Linked DNA regions of Pelodiscus sinensis. The protein of the gene in region 1 purifies or fractionates together with the protein of each later gene. This does not show direct contact. Links are inferred from orthologs where the notes say so. Each region holds a gene or a part of one and is shown in the gene's direction. Other genes may lie near its edges.

The links.
Region 2: the proteins of DNAJB1 (region 1) and PYCR3 purify together in Homo sapiens (affinity purification with mass spectrometry; 3 studies listed by BioGRID and IntAct, with this or other methods). This does not show direct contact. The link is inferred for Pelodiscus sinensis from reciprocal best matches to the Homo sapiens genes DNAJB1 and PYCR3.
Region 3: the proteins of DNAJB1 (region 1) and BAG5 purify together in Homo sapiens (affinity purification with mass spectrometry; 3 studies listed by BioGRID and IntAct, with this or other methods). This does not show direct contact. The link is inferred for Pelodiscus sinensis from reciprocal best matches to the Homo sapiens genes DNAJB1 and BAG5.

What each region holds. Positions count from the first base shown.
Region 1 is NC_134729.1:10,611,435-10,617,602, reverse strand, and holds the start of DNAJB1 (dnaJ homolog subfamily B member 1), read left to right. Parts: upstream 1-2,232; 5' UTR 2,233-2,389; coding exon 2,390-2,600; intron 2,601-4,622; coding exon 4,623-5,191; intron 5,192-5,682; coding exon 5,683-5,913; 3' UTR 5,914-6,168. UniProt on the Homo sapiens protein: Interacts with HSP70 and can stimulate its ATPase activity. Stimulates the association between HSC70 and HIP. Negatively regulates heat shock-induced HSF1 transcriptional activity during the attenuation and recovery phase period of the heat shock response.
Region 2 is NC_134712.1:2,162,915-2,169,082, forward strand, and holds the start of PYCR3 (pyrroline-5-carboxylate reductase 3), read left to right. Parts: upstream 1-2,773; 5' UTR 2,774-2,825; coding exon 2,826-2,910; intron 2,911-4,798; coding exon 4,799-4,863; intron 4,864-6,168.
Region 3 is NC_134714.1:20,289,376-20,295,543, forward strand, and holds the start of BAG5 (BAG family molecular chaperone regulator 5), read left to right. Parts: upstream 1-2,512; 5' UTR 2,513-2,536; intron 2,537-2,717; coding exon of another isoform or gene 2,718-2,846; exon of another isoform or gene 2,847-2,856; coding exon of another isoform or gene 2,857-2,889; exon of another isoform or gene 2,890-3,170; intron 3,171-3,348; exon of another isoform or gene 3,349-3,583; intron 3,584-4,416; 5' UTR 4,417-4,444; coding exon 4,445-5,797; 3' UTR 5,798-6,168. Other genes in the region: COA8 (cytochrome c oxidase assembly factor 8), read right to left, coding at 2,718-2,846. UniProt on the Homo sapiens protein: Co-chaperone for HSP/HSP70 proteins. It functions as a nucleotide-exchange factor promoting the release of ADP from HSP70, thereby activating HSP70-mediated protein refolding.

The sequences.
Region 1 (6,168 bases):
CAAAGAATTTCCAGTGTTACCATTAGTGAAGTGGGCTAACACCTATTTTACCCCACACGTCCAGCCAGTCAGACAGCATGCAACTAGGCAATGACAGATGGTCTGTATCAGAAGTTCACCGAGTGCTTGTCACACTACAGAAACCTCACCCTTACCACAATTGTACCCATTTTCCAGATATGCAAACTGAGGCAGAGATGGCGTGGTCTGCCCTAGGTCATACAATGAGTCATAGTCTTGGTTCCCAGTGCGCTGGTCTAATCACAAAGCATACTCCCCAAATCAGATAAAACCTATATGTCCTTGTTCCCACTCTTCTGTTCTAACCATTGGCCCATCATAATCCCACCCACTCAGCCTCATTTAGGAGAGATGCTTTGACTTTTTTTTTCCGTCTTTTTCTTTCTTTTTCTGCTTTTTACAGTGAAACCTTTGTTAACAGAGTGATGGATAACTAGAAAACTTTAACTGGCATTGCCCCCAGCCACAATACTGTCACACATTCAGGCACACAGGCCTGGTTTAGTTTACTGATTGCCTTAACAATTTTTTATTTAAGTACTAATCTTTAACTCAAAATAGAAATGTGAGACCAACTGCCTCACACTACAAAACTACCAATATTAAAAACTTGAGTTTTACTATTATTGTCCATTGGTTTTTCCTAGGTTGATGGGACCCTCAGACAACTGGAATTTTTAGATAACCGGAACGCGTTAATCCCCGAGCATGCTGGATAACACAGTTTTTACTGTATTTGAAGCTCTGTGCCTTTCTCCATTTTTTTGTCATCTGAAGAAGTGAGTTGTTTTGGTTAGTCTCTAAGGTGTTACAGGACCATTGTTGAGGTTTTTTAAGCTTTTATAGTGGAGAATGTTCCTTTTCTTTTCTAACAAGGGTGAAAAATGTCCTCTGATCCACTGTGACTCAAGAGCATCTCAGTGCTTTGTGCTTCTGGAGCATTGAGAACTATGATGACATAATTCAGATTTTTCCACAGCTAAAGTGGGAAGAAATGGTTTGAGTGTAGGGAGTAGAATAAATGTTTAGTTTTATGTAAATATGTATAAAGATAAATGTTTGATGACTTCATAATTTTTTTGCAATATATAATTCATACTTAGGCCCTTCCCTCCCACTAGCCTTAAGCCCCTCATTACCTTAATCCGGCCCTGCCTACATGCATTTCCCTGCCTCTCTTTCCTCATCGCTCTGCAGCACCCTTTGGGCTGGGTTCAGAGTCCTGTGTGCGGTACTCTATGGCCATTCTGACTTGCATAATATAAGCTCCAGCTTTCTGCAAGCTCGGGTACTCTGACCTTTGCCTTCCCCTTCCCAAACATCCTGTGCTATCTCCCCTCTGGGAGTCCTTTAATAAACTTGAACAAACAGAATCCAGGGCTGGATGTCCCTGGTGAGGAGGTGACAGGTTTGGAATCCGGATGAGTAGGGTTGCAAGCGTAAGCGTAAGTTATTGGTTACCCAAACAGTTACACACAGGTCTCAGGGACCCTCCTGCTGCCCTGCACTCTGGTGAAGGCAGCAGAGGGGGGCAACAGACAGGAGCCTGTACTCAGTTCCCAGCACACACCTGCACCTGGGAGCTGGCTGTGCCCGGCGTGTAACCGAACGTTTACCAAATGACACGTATTTTAACATCCCTAATGACCGGCGCCTTTGGAGGGGAAGGCGAGCCTGTGAGACCTGATGGGGTGGGTGCCACTAGCCGGGGGGGGGGGGGGGGGGGGGGTTGACCTTAGGTGAGGGATGCTGGTGGGGGCTGTGGGACATGGGATGAGGGATGCACTGGGCGGGGGCGTGGCTCCAGACTGCTCCTTTCCTTGCTAAAGGCCCACCCCGGGGCGTGGCTTTTGCCGGTGGGCGTGGTCAGTGCCTAGGATGCAAAAGAAAGCCGAGGCAGAATTGATGTTTAGGGTTTCAGCTCGGCCCCGCCCCCCCTGGGGGCGGGGCGAGAACGCTCGGAGAGTCGGCAACTGGTCCCACCAGGCTCGCGGCCTGAGAGAGTGGGGGGAGTCGGGACAGTGACCGGCAACGACCGTTGGTCTCACAGCGCGCGCTTCTGTCCCCTTCCCACCCCTCACTTGATGACGAGTGAGGGGCGTGGTCTCAGCGACGGTTAAGCTCTGGGGGGGGGGTAAGTGTGCGGTCACGTGACGCAGGCTCTGTCCCCACTGGCGGAGAGCGGCAGGCCCCGCGCTGTGATTGGGGGAGGCGGGCGGGAGGCGGGGTCCGGGCGGGGAAGGTTCTGGAGAGCTGTGGCGAGCTCTGGAAGGTTCCGCCACCCGTCATATAAATGGGGGGTGGCGGCGGGCGCCGCGCTGGAGTGACGGGAACCGCTGACGGGGTGTGAGACGCGCAGCTGGGAGCCATGGGCAAGGACTATTACCGGACGCTGGGCTTGTCCCGGGGCGCCTCGGACGACGACATTAAGCGGGCCTACCGCAAGCAGGCGCTGCGCTACCACCCCGACAAGAACAAGGACCCGAGCGCCGAGGAGCGCTTCAAGGAGATCGCCGAGGCCTACGACGTGCTCAGCGACCCCAAGAAGCGGGAGATCTTCGACAAGTTCGGCGAGGAAGGTGAGGGGCGGCGTGTGGGCGCGGGCCGCGGGGGGGTCCGGCAGAGCTTGGTGGGGGAGATGGGGCAGGGGGCGTGTGTCGCTCGCTGTGGATGGGGGGGCTGCGCAGCAGGAATTGGGGGGCTGCCCCCGTGGTGTGGCGAAGGGCGCTGACGTGATGGGGGGAGGGGGACGCCCTATACACTGGGGCTCTGGGGAAGAAGGCGGGGGGGGGGGCTGTCTTTCAGCGGTGCAGCGCTGGGGGGGGCTGGTAAGCAGGGGGATGGTGCGCTAAGGTTTGGGGTGCAGAGCCTCTGTGCGAGGAGGCCCTGTTCCGGGGAAGACCGCATACCCGTGGGAAGGACATTCTGATGCAGCTTAGTACCTGGTGATAGGTAGGAAGGAGGTGGTTAGAAATAGCTGAATGTCATGCTGCTGGGTATTCTGGAAGTACTTTCCATGAAGTGAGGGGTAGCACTAAGATTGGGGAAGAGGAACATATGTCCTAATGGGGCACTCCCAAACTTTGTGGAGAGGGAACTGTGTATCTCTTACACACAAGATGGAGTGGTTTTCTTTCTTGATGCAATCCAGGGAGTGACAGAGAAGCAAAGTATTTACTAGTGGCTAGTCTCTCTTTAATCCTTTGCTTCTGAAATTCATTCATTTTTGTCTGGAAAGGAGTGCATCTAGTTGGTTTTCAGGGAACAGTACTGAACCCTGAATGGGCATGTACAGTAAAGGGATTCAGCTTTCCCGTGTAGCCTGTAGATACTGTCAGTAGCATGGGATAGCGAAGTGGCTGTCAGAAAAATAAGACTCATAGTAACAGGGAGATGTGTACAGAGCTAATTGTGAAAGGAAGTAGAACTAGTCCTATTAGTGAATTTAGGAATTAGCCAGTTTCTTTTATCTCAGAGCGTCCTGTTGCATTAATAACATAGCCTGTTAAAACTATTAATAAAACACAAGTGTCAGACTCTTTTGAACAAAATACAGGACTATGTAGCACTTTAAAGACTAACAAGATGGTTTATTAGATAATGAGTTTTCGTGGCCCAGACCCACTTCCTCAGATCAAATAGTGGAAGGAAAATAGTCTCTTTGGGAGACTTATTGTGAAGTCCATGTGCAAAGCCTGCCTGACTTCCTCCAAATTAAGGCATTAAAAGTCTGCATCAAATCTCTAATTTAACATTAGTACAGATTTTTTTTTTTTTTAGGGTGTAGTCTCATCCATTTAGATTACTCAAACAAGGGAGCTAGATTTCTCTGTATTTAAACAGCTAGGTTGGCCAACTCAACTGTTAACATCTGATGCTGAAAGAGTATGATTTTTAATATTTTTTAAAAATAGTTGCTTTTTCCAGCTAATAGAATTGTAGATAATTTCCCTTAAATTATTTTCCAAAATTTGTGTTTTGAATTGCTTTTCAGTTGCTGACTTCCCATGTTTGTTTCTCTACATTGCCTTTCCTGTAAATACTTAATGATTTCCCCATATGAGCTGATAGGCCACTTTTCCAGAAGAGGCGGAGCTGACTACAGAATGGTTTTGCTTGTCACTAGAAGATTCTAATATACTGTATTTGTTTGCCTGTGTATGTTAAATTATGAAACTTGCTCCGTAACAGTGTTTTATTGAAGCAGGAAGAATATAGTTGTAGTCTCCAGGCACTCAGATTAAATTATTTTTGCTACAATGGCTCTATATAGATGAGCTAGGTTTAATGCCAATTAAAGGAATACAGTTGATTATAAATTATTATGTTAGGAAACTCAGTAATTGAGAGAGAAGAGCTCTTCAACTTGGCTCTAATTTCTTTTTTGACTAGGGAGGTCTGAATCTTGACACCATTTTAAGATGACAGCAGGCCTCTTTGGTGATGCACATCAAACCTAAAGTTCTAAATAATGACATTCCCAGGATCTAAGAATGAGGAGAGTCTTGAAATTAAGAAAGATATAGGAGACATTTGGTAAATCTTGAGTTTAATAAATTCTTATGAGTAATCACTGGATTATATTCATTCTGTTTTTTCAGGACTAAAGGGAGGTGGTCCCAGCAGTGGCGGAAGTTCCAATGGTACCTCATTCAGCTACACGTTTCATGGAGATCCTCATGCTATGTTTGCAGAGTTCTTTGGTGGCAGGAACCCATTTGATACCTTTTTTGTACAAAGGAATGGAGATGAAGACATGGATGTTGATGACCCTTTCTCCACATTTCAAATGGGGGGCTTTAGTAATATGGGTTTCCCTCGTTCCCGCTCGGGCCATGAAAGTATGCGCAAAAAACAAGACCCTCCTGTCATTCATGAACTGAGGGTTTCCTTGGAGGAAATATATACTGGTTGCACCAAGAAAATGAAAATATCTCACAAACGACTTAATACAGATGGGAAGACCACACGGAATGAGGACAAGATTCTGACCATTGAAGTCAAACGAGGGTGGAAAGAAGGAACAAAGATTACTTTTCCAAAAGAGGGGGACCAAACAGCAAACAACATTCCAGCTGACATTGTCTTTGTTTTAAAAGACAAGCCACACAATGTCTTTAAGAGAGATGGATCTGACATTATTTTCCCAGCTAAGATCAGCCTCCGTGAGGTAAGCAAAGGTTCCAGATTCAGTATGGGATTAGTGGGTGGATTGGGTTGGGTTTTGGCTAGTGGAAGTGACAAGTGTTGAGATCTATCTGCACCCTGTTTCGTATCTGGCTTTAATCCATAATAGGATACCTGCCTAACTCTTCTGTGGTCTGCCTAAAATAAGATGGTAGCTTCAGGATACTTCCTTGTGGAACAATCAAAGGGTATAAACCACCATTAGAGATGGCAGATCACTGGCAACTACTTTGAAAATGATGTGGGTCAGTTTGGATACTGAAAGTTCAATGTGGGTCAAGCAGTTGTACAAATATATAACATAGTTGTACAATTTCTGGTACTGTTACTCTGTGCCTGCATCAGTAACTCAGAAGAAACAAATTGGAATAAACAGGCCATTGCAATGAAACATTTTTCTATTTGGTTGTTTGGGAAATCTGCTAGAGATTGTATATGTTGACACTGTTCTAATTTCCCTGTTTTTATATTTAGGCCCTGTGTGGTTGCACAGTGAATGTGCCAACGCTGGATGGCAGGACCATCCCAATGGTATTTAAGGATGTCATTAAACCTGGGATAAAGCGGCGAATCCCTGGAGAGGGTCTCCCATATCCCAAGAATCCAGACCAGCGAGGGGACCTTTTTATAGAATTTGAAGTAAAATTTCCAGACAGAATTCCACAGGCCTCCAAAAGTGTCCTAGAGCAGATCCTGCCAATATAGCAAGGCTGCTTATGGAGAACTGAAACAAGGACACTTCCAAAGCAAAAGGTTACTGGACCATAACCAGGACTTCAGGGTTTCTCTTCAGTGGAGGGTGTGGACTTTGAAACTCTTCCCCAAGAGTACCATCTTGAAAATTGTGTATTCGCTTTTCAGTGACTTTAGTCCCAGATCATCACTTGAAGTATTTACATCAATGAGCAGCTGCTTGTGGGAGGAATCTGTATCTCCTGGTCAAACCTTTCTTCTGGTGAC
Region 2 (6,168 bases), on another chromosome or scaffold:
TGGAGAGGGATCCTGCAGGGAGAGAAGAGACAGAGTCCCAACGGAGAAGAGCCCAGGGAGTTCCAGCTACTGGGCAGCAGCGTTACAGCCAACCCCCTGCGCCCCGCACCGCTCCCTGACCTCCGATAGCTCAGCCTGGCTCTGTTAATATAGCAGGTCCCCCTGCCTAGGCGGGTCGGCACAGAACAGCTCTAATGAGCACCGTATTGAGCTGAGAGCGTGGCCCAACCAGGAGCAGGCTAACCCCTTCCAACTGGAAGAAGTGAGTGAATAGCACCAGCCTGACGTGATAACAGCTGTGCCGAGATCACGGCCTGCCACACCGATCCCACCGTCTCGCTGTTGCCTGGTACTCCCTGTGTGCGCCCACCTGTGACCTCATCGCATGCTTGGATCAGAAGCTCATTGGGAAAGGGATGGTCTTTTTCTTCTGTGTTTGGGCAGCGCCTAACAACGCCACACCTGCTATGTCTACACTGGCGGCTTCTCGTGCAAGATCACGTCCACACTGCCATGTACGAGCTGTGCTTTTGTGCAAGAGCGCCCATGGCAGTGCGGACGCTCTCTTGCACAAGAAAGTTCTGATGGCCATTTTAGCCATAGGGCTTCCTTGCGCAAGAAATCCCTGCCCAGCATCCACACTGCCTTCTTGTGCAAGAGCCCCTGCACAAGGGCTTACACCTGTTAAAAAAAGAGCGTAGCTCTTGTGCAAGACGCCCTCTCTTACCACGCCGTACTGTAAATGTCCTTGCACAAGAGCGGGCGGGCAGTGTGGACGCTCTGCGGATTCTTGCGCAAGAACGGCTGTACTTGTGCAAGAAGCCACAAGCGGAGACACAGCCCTCGGGTGCTACAATAATACAAACACCGCTGATGTTTGTGTGAAGGGCTCATGAGTCCTCCTGGGTTTCCTCCGGCATCTCTGAGAGGAAGGAATGATCCGATTGCTAGAACACACCCAGAGGGCACAGGCCTCATGGAAACTTACAAAGTTCCACTTGGATGCATGCTGGACTGATCAGTCTCCATGGGCCACACATGAGCATGCAGCTGCCTTGTGTCTCCGGTGTACAGAACCAGAAGCTGCTGTGGCCCTCCACAAGGTAACATTAAGGCACATTCTCTAGATTTTTCTGCAGCTGGTTTTAAGCAGGGAGCCAGGCTGCAAGGGTAGGAGCCTGGAGTGGTTAGGGCCAGTGCTGTTGCATACATACCTGTCACTGCAGCTTGCATTTCACCCCTTGGACCGTAACAAAACACTTAAAGAGGAAAAGCCCCCCAGGAGCAATTGAGTTAGGCTTCCGGGTCAGGTCCTGTTCCCCAACCAAGACAGGAGAAAAGGTCTCCTCCTTCATCCACTGTCGGGCTCAATTAATTCCCTTAGGCTGCATCTAGACTGGCAAGTTTTTCCGCAGAAGCAGTTGCTTTTGCGGAAAAACTTGCCAGCTGTCTACACTGGCCACTTGAATTTCCGCAAGAACACTGACGATCTCATGTAAGATTGTCAGTGTTCTTGCGGAAATGCTATGCTGCTCCCGTTCGGGAAAAAGCCCTCTTGCGCAAATGGACCAGTGTAGACAACGCAGTATTGTTTTGCGCAAAAAAGCCCTGATGGCGAAAATGGCGATTGGGGCTTTCTTGCGCAAAACCGTGTCTAGATTGGCACGGACACTTTTCCGCAAAAACTGTCAGATCCTTTCTATCCGAGGGCAGCACACTTCCGGGGGTAGCGCCATGCATTCAAACGTTGCTCCTGACTTTGGCCATCATGAAGCCAGACAAGAGAGTCTTATCAGAGAAGCCTTTCCCCTCTCTGAGTAGGGAACAGCCACAGAAAGGGATGTGAGGAATGGATCAGACCAGCCAACACGCAAGTTCAACCACATGAAATGAATGTGTCTGTGGAAAGCATTTTCCAAACCCCAATCTCTGTTGGTTTTGCTGCCTTTCAGGCCAGAAGGTGCCACGTCAGCACGTTGTACATTGTAGCTCAAAGGCCCTTCCATCTGACGCTTTGCGGTCAGATTTGTTCATACAACCCATGCACCATGGGGAAGACCATTCATGTTTCCCAGAAAGGGAAACTGAGGCCACAGACTGTGACGGACCTCAGAACAAAACCCAGGTGTTCCTGGCTTGAGCCACCAGATATTGGGGGGTGGGGGTGTCTCTGGGGCCTTTGAACAGCCGTGCCACGGCCCCTCACAAGAAAAACAAATCTGGTTGTGGAACAGAGCTGATCTTTGGATGCAGAAGCAGACACACCAGGTCCTACCTGGGGGGGTGCAGGGTCTGGGGGCGCCCTAGGGGCCTGAATTCACATGCCCACCGCAGAAGGCCCAAGCCCTGACCCTGACCCTGCTCCGCCCCCAGCAACCGGCCCAGGAGATGGGGGGGGGATAGAGGGGGCAGCTTGAGTGACAGCTCGCCTGGGGCCCATACACAGCCCAGCTGCGGACACAGCTGGCAGCAGGGCGGGGGGAGCTGTGTGTGGGCGCTGCTGATCCCAGATGACTAGGGGGGGGGGGAGCAGCCAGATGCAGCGCTGCCAGCCTGGAGCATCCCTGCGCTGCGAAGGCAAGAGGAGAACGGAGACCACGCCCCCACCAGGACCCCACGTGGGGCGGTCACTCACCTGACTCCGCCCCTGGGGAGAAGCGCCTCGTTCCCCCGGGCGCTTATGAATCCGGCGCCCGATGACGTCGCACGCGGCGGCAGCCAATCCGGAGGTGAAGGCGGGGTGAGGCCGAGCGGAGCCCGCGACGCTGGGGGCGGGTCCGGCGGTAGCCACGTGGTGGGCGGGTCACGTGGGAGAGCCGGCTGGGATGGAGGCGCGCGGGGAGCTGCGGATCGGGTTCGTGGGCGCCGGGCACATGGCCCAAGGGGTGGCGCAGGGCGCGGTGCGCGCAGGTAGGCGCGGGGTTTGGGAGAGCCCCGCCCCCCTCCTCTCCCCTCCCCCCCCACCCCACCTGCTGGGGGTCCCTGGGTAACCAGCCCCCCCTTCCCGAGGGGAGCCCCAGCAGAGGGTGCCTGGGTAACTAGACCCCCCCCATCCCAGCTGGGAGCCCTCGCCGGGGGCCCTGGGTAACTAGACCCCCCCCCATCCCAGCTGGGAGCCCTCGCCGGGGGCCCTGGGTAACTAGACCCCCCCCCCCCATCCCAGCTGGGAGCCCTCGCCGGGGGCCCTGGGTAACTAGACCCCCCCCCCCCATCCCAGCTGGGAGCCCTCGCCGGGGGCCCTGGGTAACTAGACCCCCCCCCCCCATCCCAGCTGGGAGCCCTCGCCGGGGGCCTGGGTAACTAGACCCCCCCCCCATCCCAGCTGGGAGCCCTCGCCGGGGGCCCTGGGTAACTAGACCCCCCCGTCCCAGCTGGGAGCCCTCGCCGGGGGCCCTGGGTAACTAGACCCCCCCCCCCCATCCCAGCTGGGAGCCCTCGCCGGGGGCCCTGGGTAACTAGACCCCCCCCCCCCATCCCAGCTGGGAGCCCTCGCCGGGGGCCCTGGGTAACTAGACCCCCCCCATCCCAGCTGGGAGCCCTCGCCGGGGCCCTGGGTAACTAGACCCCCCCCCCCATCCCAGCTGGGAGCCCTCGCCCGGGGGCCCTGGGTAACTAGACCCCCCCCCCCCATCCCAGCTGGGAGCCCTCGCCGGGGGCCCTGGGTAACTAGACCCCCCCCCCCATCCCAGCTGGGAGCCCTCGCCGGGGGCCCTGGGTAACTAGACCCCCCCCATCCCAGCTGGGAGCCCTCGCCGGGGGCCCTGGGTAACTAGACCCCCCCCCATCCCAGCTGGGAGCCCTCGCCGGGGGCCCTGGGTAACTAGACCCCCCCCCCCCCATCCCAGCTGGGAGCCCTCGCCGGGGGCCCTGGGTAACTAGACCCCCCCATCCCAGCTGGGAGCCCTCGCCGGGGGCCCTGGGTAACTAGACCCCCTCCCCCCATCCCAGCTGGGAGCCCTCGCCGGGGGCCCTCACACCAGAACCACCCCCCACCCTGCTGGATAAGCGAGTTCCCATGCTACAGGCCCCCCCTTCCCCTCCATGGGGGTCCCTCTGCAAGCAGCACCTGCCCCAACACAAGGGCCCCCCCCCCAACTCGTGCCGTGCTGCTGTGTAACCCTGTGTCTCACCCCGCAGAAGACATCCCAGTTCTGGGCAATGGATCCCTGTAGAACCAGCCCCCTGCATCCCACCCCACGGGACAGCTGCAGCTGGGTGCTTGGTGAACGAGCCCCTAGAAATAGCTGCTGTGCCCAGCAGTGGAGGCGCCTGCGGTCCCGAGCCCTGTCCCAGTTATGGCTCCTAGGGGCTGAGGGATCTCTGTAAGGCCCTTGCCATGCTCCCATCCCAGAAGCGGCTGCGGGTCCTTGCTGTGCGATAAGTCGTTGGCTCTCTGCTCAGGCCCAGTTAATCAATGACTCTGGGATCCTAGGGCGGGGAGGCCACAGAGAGCTGTCTGGCTGTTCCCACGATACCTGCCGCACAGGTGTGCGTTTTACCAAGGCCATTCCAGGCCTGCTGCCACCACTGCCCTCCTGTGGCAAAAGGAAGTTCCCTGCAATCGCCTGGCATCGCTGCCCGCAGCGCGCATAGCCCGTGTGCCCTGGTTAGCTGCCTGCCTCTCCGCCCTTCCGCGGCCGTTAGGAATCTCACGCTGGCTGGTGGGCAGCTAACGCTGGGCACGAACAGGCTTGGAATTGGGCCTTGGTACGAGTCTCTAGTCTGAGCATGTTTGAGGCATCGCAGGATTCTCTCCATGCCCCTTAAGCAGCGGCTTACCTCTGCTCTGTGTTTTCAGGAAAAGTCAAAGCTGCCAACGTCCTGGCCAGCGCGCCGTCCGACAGGAACTTGGGGGCCTTCAAGGTGAGCGAGGGCAGGGCATTGCAGGCTGCCCGGGAAAGGTCAGGCCTCTTCCTGAGGACTGGAAGAGCTAATAGCATCCTGGTGTCCAGAAACGGGAGGCAAAGGCGATAACGATGCTCGAGTCCACTTGCTTGTGATCCCAGCAGATGTGCAAGCTATTGAGTTCCTCTCCGGAACACCTGGGTGCCCTGGGAAATGGGGCTGGTGAGCTATGGTGGCTTTTCCCTTTCTCTCACTGCTCATCCTCAGTCCAGGTCCACACTGGCGTAACACATGTAGCTGGAGTCTGCTTACCTTCAGCCGAGCTTAGTGCCAGTCCCCGTCGTCTTCCCTCGCGACTGCGAGTATCAGGGCTGACTAGGGATGTGAACAGCTCGCTGACTAGTCACTTCTCCCTCCCTTTCTGAAAGAGGCAGCAAGGTGGGGGAAGAGAAAAGTGCTTCAAAGTGGCAGCGCCACGTGGAGCCTGGAGCTGCTGCTTTGAAACGCCACATGCAGAGTCAGCAGGGGAGGGGGGGGCTCCACTTGAAATGCCATGGGGCCAGTGGGGACTGCTTGACTGGGCTCGTGATCCCTGTAGCGCTTTCGCCTTTGAAATGTAGCAACTGCCCTGGGGTTGTTGCTACACTTCAAAGGCGGAAGCGCCCTTATCGAGTAGTCCAGGGGTTCTCAAACTTTGTAATACTGCAACCCCCTAAAATTCTACATGAATTTGTGTGACCCCCACCCCATGAATAAAGGGGGATTTGGGGGCAGCGGGGCTGGCCGGGGGAGATCGGGCAGGGAAACCGGCCAGCGGGAAGCAGGGGTGGCGGGGGGAGGAAGGGAGAGGTTGGGTACATTGGGGCTGGCCGGGGAAGATCAGGAGGAGAAGTGGGGGAGAACCAGTCGGCTGGGAGGGGGCAGGGAGAGCATGAATTGGCTGGTGGGGAGCGGGACTGACCCAGGCACATGCCGCTACCAGGGCGCTGCCCGTCCCGCGCACAGTCCCAGCGAAGCACGAGTGAGTTTGGCTGAGGCACCACCACGCGCTAGAATAGCGCTCAGGAGCACGTACAGGGCTTCCCTTCCTCCCCAAGGCATCACACGCAACCAGAGGTTCTCAGCGCTGATCGTGCCCCACCTCCCAGCCACTCCCACAGCCCCCGCCAGGCTTCCGTCGGGCACCCAGACAGAAAACTAGAAAATACCAGACATGTACCGGACTGTCCCGAAAACCCAAAAAAACAGACTGTCCTGTGACTCCCCTCTAAGTTGCTCAGTTTGAGAAACCCACAGTTTGAGAAACGCTGGAGTAGTCGAATA
Region 3 (6,168 bases), on another chromosome or scaffold:
AAAGGAACAAAGTTATTAAACACCACATTTTTATTTCTGCATTTATAAATCTTAGCTATAGCTCATAGGCAGGTGAACTAGCAATCATATGTGGTTGCTACATGGGGACAACACACAATGCATAAAGTTAAGTAGATGTATAAATACTTAGACTGAGTCCCTAATCTGATGTTCTATCTTTAAAGAAAGGAATGAATAGGTAATCCCTGGACTGCGTTTAGAAAAAAAATTCTAAACCTAGGGTCTTGTCAAATCAACATTTAGAACTTTTTTTTTCCTAATTCTAATATTCTGAGGAAATTCAGCTTGTATAAAGATTCTCAAACTCTAGCCTCTATTTGTGTGATAATGTAGTAATTGTCTAGAGTTGGATTACAATATAAATAGGCTTGGAAGGACTGGATCTTTGGTGGTAATGTCAGTAAACATCACTTTCAACATATACACACACACCAATTAAAAAATATTTCCATCAATAATGAATTTTATAAATATCCAAAGGAAGAAAAATGTTGCTTGAGAACTTACTACAGCTCAATTTAAGGATATTTACTTTGTATATTTTAACAGAATCATAGAAACATAGGGCAGGAAGGGAAATAAAGAAGTTATTTAATCCAATCCTTTACATGAGGCAAGACTAATCATTATCTAAGCCACCCCTGTTAGGGATATAAGCAACTAGACCCTCCTCCTCTATTAGAGGCAGCAAGAGCCAGTGCTGTGGGGAGCTGGCTTAAAAGCTGGTTCCCCTCAGCACTTGGTCTCCATGGGGGGCAGAAGGACTGTGGGGACTGGCATGAGCCCAGCTGTCCTGACTCGCCCTGAGTCCCCAGTGCTGTACACAGCCTTTTAAATGTATTAAGAGCCAGGAGGTTCTTAATACATTTAAAAGGCTGATGCACAACAGTAGACCCCTCCACCCAAGCTGGCAAAGCTTATTCCTGGCTCACACTGCCCCCCCCTTCCCTCACTGTGCTTCTCCTTTTTAAATGTATTAAGAGTCTACCAGGTCTGATTCCAAATTGATTGCTGGTTCCACCAGACCTTAATGTTTCCCAAGCAACGCATTAATTTATTTGCTAATAAAGAACCACATAGAAATAAAGAGCTGGAAATGAGATTTAATGAGACTTCCTTGTGACCCTTGGAAAATGGTCAACTACAGGCTATTAACATTTTTCTAACAAAACCTATTCAAACAATTTAACAGGAAATTCAAGTAAAATCCTATCATGAGTTAATGAGATGCTGACAGAGAGAAGCCCAGGTAATACAGGGAGACATGATAACCCAGGGAAAATATAGCCCTAGATTCCTGGCTCCAGCTCTGTCCCCCCAACATCTCCTCCTCAGAACCAGGAAAAGAATCCAGGGCTATGTCTAGACTGGCATGATTTTCCGCAAATGCTTTTAACGGAAAAGTTTTTCTGTTAAAAGCATTTGGAGAAAAGAGTGTCTAGATTGGCACGGACGCTTTTCCGCAAAAGCACTTTTTGCGGAAAAGCGTCTGTGCCAATCTAGACGCAGTTTTGCGCAAGAAAGCCCCGATCGCTATTTTCGCCATTGGGGCTTTTTTGCGCTAAACAATACTGCGTTGTCTACATGGGCCCTCTTGCGCAAAAGCATTTGCGCAAGAGGGCTTTTGCCTGAATGGGAGCAGCATTGTATTTCCGCAAGAACACTGAACCTTACATGAGATCGTCAGTGTTCTTGCGGAAATTCAAGCAGCCAGTATAGACAGCTGGCAAATTTTTCCGCAAAAGCAGAAAAACTTGTCAGTCTAGATGCAGCCCAGGAGTCCAGGCTCTAAGTGTCTGGTAGATTCACTGCCAACCAGAAAAGGGAACAAAGCATATGAGTCCTAATGTAACAGTGACAGAACCAAACATGGGACTTGTGGAGCTTACTACAGGAATCTCAAAAGGGGAGGGGAACCTTTTTTTGGGTTGAGGGCCACTGACCCACAGAAAAGTCAGTTGATAGAATTTCCATCCACTGCTCCATTAGTCAGGCACTCCCTATCCTGCTACACAGCTGCCTTTGAAATGTACAAGAGTGCCTAGGGCTCTTGTACATTTCAAAGATGGAGCAGTCAGGACCATCAGCAGCAGTCCCTGCTTGCAGAGTTTCCTTGCTGCACCTTTGCCTCCCCTCCTCCCCTCTCCAGATGGTGCTGGGGGGGGGGGGGGGAGATCAGCTTTTAAGATGGCTCTCCCCAGCACCAGCTCCTGCTCCCCCCCCCCTTTTCTGCCTCTCTCTGATAGAGGGCAGGGGGAGAGAAACAACTAGTCACATATCCTTAATAGAGGAAACTCATTATTCTCTCTGTAAGTAGTCTAAGTGTCACTACACCAGCGAACCACACCCAGCAGGCATGTGGGTTGTACTAATGCCCAGTCCCCAGCTTGCACCCAGGAGAGCCCCAAACCTGTACCCAACATGATGGACAATGGGGCTCCCCGCGGGTCCCCAGGGCCAATTGCATGACGCCAGAGGCAAAGGGGGAGGCCGCCCTCCTGAAAAAGAGCTAGAGGTTTGTCCGCCCGCTCTGCCCATTGGGATCCCCGCAACTCGGCGCCCACTGGACCTCAACGCAGCCCAGGCGGGGCGGGCTCTCCCTGCCCCAAAACACGGGGCAGGACCTCGAGTTCCCAGCGCTAACCACCGCAGCCCCGGCCTCAGGGAAGCCTGCCCCGCACCCTCCGCCTGTTTACCGGGCTCTCCGGCTTGTGGCCGCGCACGGGCCCCTCAGCGGCCAGGCGCCCCGCGCCGCCCCCTGCTCGGGAGAAGCCGCGGCGCGAGCCGAGCCACCAACGCCCCACTCGAGGCGCTGCGCCCGCCATCGCGCCTCACCCGCCTCCCCGCTGGCGGCGGCTTTACGGCCATGTCGCAAAGGGAGGGCCGCCCGAAACTTCTCCCTGAGGTGCGGCAGGCGGCGCAAGCTGCGGCCTCCGGGAACCCGGGAGAGCGGCTCAGTCTCTTGGCTGCGCAGCTCCGGTCACCCGCCGCGCTCTTCCCTCTGCGGCCCCCGCCGGGTGAGGGCGGGCTGGGGTTCCCGGGCTCGGGATAGCCGCCGTTTGGCCCGCGGTACAGGCCGGTTGGAGGGGCCCGCCGGGGGGACCCAAGTTCTGTCGGGGACGGGGGGAGAACAGCGCCTGTCGGGCCAGGTGAGGGGCGGGGGCTCGGAGGGAAGCTGAGCTGGTTGGGGGGCGGGGGGGTTGGCTGCCTGGAGAGTGGGGGCAGCTGATGATGGGGAGTTGGCGGGGAAGAGGGCCTGGGTGCCGGGGCCCTGGGGATATGGAGGACGGGGGAGGGGAGGCGGGGGGGGTCTCCGCGGGGGGGCGGGGCTCTGCGATAAAGGAGACGCTCTCAGCCGCCTGAGGCCCCCGCTCGGTGCCGCCCCCGGGCTCCGGCACGCGCTCTCCGTTCCCCCGGGACGCCCCCATTGTGAAGTCATCCCCTGCTGGTGGCGCGGCCCGGCGGATCCAGGCTCCTCCTGCAGGGATGTAGCGAGCCCGGGCTCCGGGGGGGATCGGGGCCTGCTCCAGGGGATTGTCTTCCTCCAAGGCTGCTGGCTAGGGTAGGCGCCGTCCTTCATGCTGCGGTGGGGGCTGGAGACCTCAGGGCCAACTCCGCATCTCTATCGTATGCAGGGGCCGCGGTACTGGGGATGGTTGTGGTCGCTGCTTGAGGACAGGCAGGTGGTGGTGGAAGGAAGAGGGGGCCTCAAATGGGCTGAAAAAAGCGATGAAAGGCGAAGAGGGGAACGTGAGAGAGATTAGTGAAGGGCCGAGGGGTGTGGATGAAGGGCCCTGGATGAGGTGCAGAAGTGTTTAGGGGTAGTTTAATGTGGGAGAAGGGTGCCAGGTGGTGTAGACAGACAAAGGATGCTGGATGGGGGAGAAGGCTGGTTAGATTTGCTGAGGGTACATAGATATGGGCACAAAGTGTTGACAACATTAGTTGCCTCAGCAGTGTTATAATCCCTATTTTGAGTAATGCAAGTGATTGAGAGGGGAGTATTTACCAGTTGGGGGGGAATCTTGCACTAAATTAAGAATTGGAGGTTGCCTCCTTAATTTTCTTCATTATTGAAATAACCCATTTTTCTGCATTGATTGTAAACATTATAGCTCTGAGAGTGAATAAAAACTTCTAGCTGTGTAAGTTCAAGTGTATATCATTTAATAGGAGCTTGCAGACATCATTAGAGAGAGATGTACAAAAGAACAGTGACATACTGTATGGTTTGAAGTTAAGTGCGTCACTCTTTTTAACTTTCTCGTACATTCTCTGTACCTTTAAGTCAAGTTAATTTATTAAATATTTTAGTGTCATGAGGCTTTATAAAAGTTGTTGGAATTATGAAATATTTGTTTAAAAATTTATCAGTCATTCTTGCCTCCTTTACAGCTCATTTGAAACTGGAGGAAATAAGATAATGGATATGGGTAACCAACACCCTTCCATCAAAAGGCTTCAAGAAATACAGAAAGAAGTCAGAGATATTGAACAGCAGGTGGTGATTTTCAGTGGCCTGTCTTCTGACAGGGATTACAAGAAACTGGAGAGGACTCTGACTAAACAACTTTTTGAAATAGATTCTGTAGATACTGAAGGAAAAGGGGATATTCAGCAAGCCAGAAAACGAGCAGCCCAGGAAACAGAAAGACTACTCAAAGAATTGGAGCAGAATGCAAACCATCCACACAGACTGGAAATAGAGGCCATATATAAGGAAGCTCAGTCATTGGTGGAACGTGAAATCACACCTTTTTATAAAGGTGGCAACTGTATAACTGATGAATTTGAAGAGGGTATTCAGGATATTGTATTGAGACTTACTCAAGTGAAAACTGGAGGAAAAATCTCGCTACGGAAAGCAAGATACCGCACTCTGACAAAAGTGTGTGCAATTCAAGAGATTATAGAAAACTGTATAAAACAGCAACCTTCCTTGCCACTCTCCAGTGATGCACATCCTTCAGTCTCAAAAATTAACTCTATTATGTGTGATGTAAACAAAGCGAGGGGTACTCTTATTGCAGTCTTAATGGGAGTAAATAATAATGAGACTTGCAGGCATTTATCCTGTGTGCTTACTGGTCTGGTTGCTGATTTGGATGCGTTGGATGTTTGTGGCCACACAGAAATAAGAAATTACAGAAAGGAAGTGGTGGAAGAGATTAATAAATTACAGAAATACCTGGATTTGGAAGAGGAAGCAGACTCTGCTCATGCTTATGACTTGGCACAAAATCAATCCATTCTAAAAATAGAAGAGATCCGCAAAAAAATGAAAGAAGTTCATTCTTTAATTTTCAGAGCAGAAAATGCTTCTGATCTGTTCTTGGGATCCAAGGCAGAACTTCAAGGTTTAATTGCCCACTTGGATGAAGTGAGTCCAGGAAAGAACCCATGCATCAGAGAAGCCAGGAGAAGAGCAGTGATAGAAGTGCAAACTCTTATAACATACATTGATTTAAAAGAAGCACTTGAAAAAAGGAAATTGTATGGTGAACAAACTGTTGTAGAACACCACTCCCATAAGGCAGTCTGGAGTGTTCTTGAACATTTGTCTCAGATTCAGAGGGAAGTGCTGTCTTTTGATGGAAACCGAACTGATAAGAACTATATGAGACTAGAAGAGCTCCTCACTAAGCAACTTCTGACACTTGATGCTGTTGATCCACAAGGAGATGAACGGTCTAAAGTTGCCAGAAAGCAGGCAGTAAAGCTTGCACAGAATATTCTTTACTATCTAGACATGAAAACAGATGAATGGGAGTACTAGGAAAATAGTGGCCTCATGTAAGGTGTTGCTTTCCTTTTTTGCACTTTATGTAGACTGATAGCTCCCATGAACAGCACATGATTAAAAGTTGTGTTTTTATATTCGCTCGAATTGTGGAGATGATGTAAATAGTTGGCTTGAATATATGGCAGCTATCCCACATTTTTGCCCACTTGCCATGACAATTGTCAGTACACCGTTTTTTCCATTTTGGTCACTATGTTATGTGAGAGAGATGGTTTTCTTGAGGAATTGCATAAGTATCAGAATCTGTAATATTTGGTCAAACTGTTTGGTTTTTCTTCAAAAAAGCATGTTTCTCAAAGATGCAGGAATTTACTTAAGATACAGTACTAGAAAAACAATGAAAA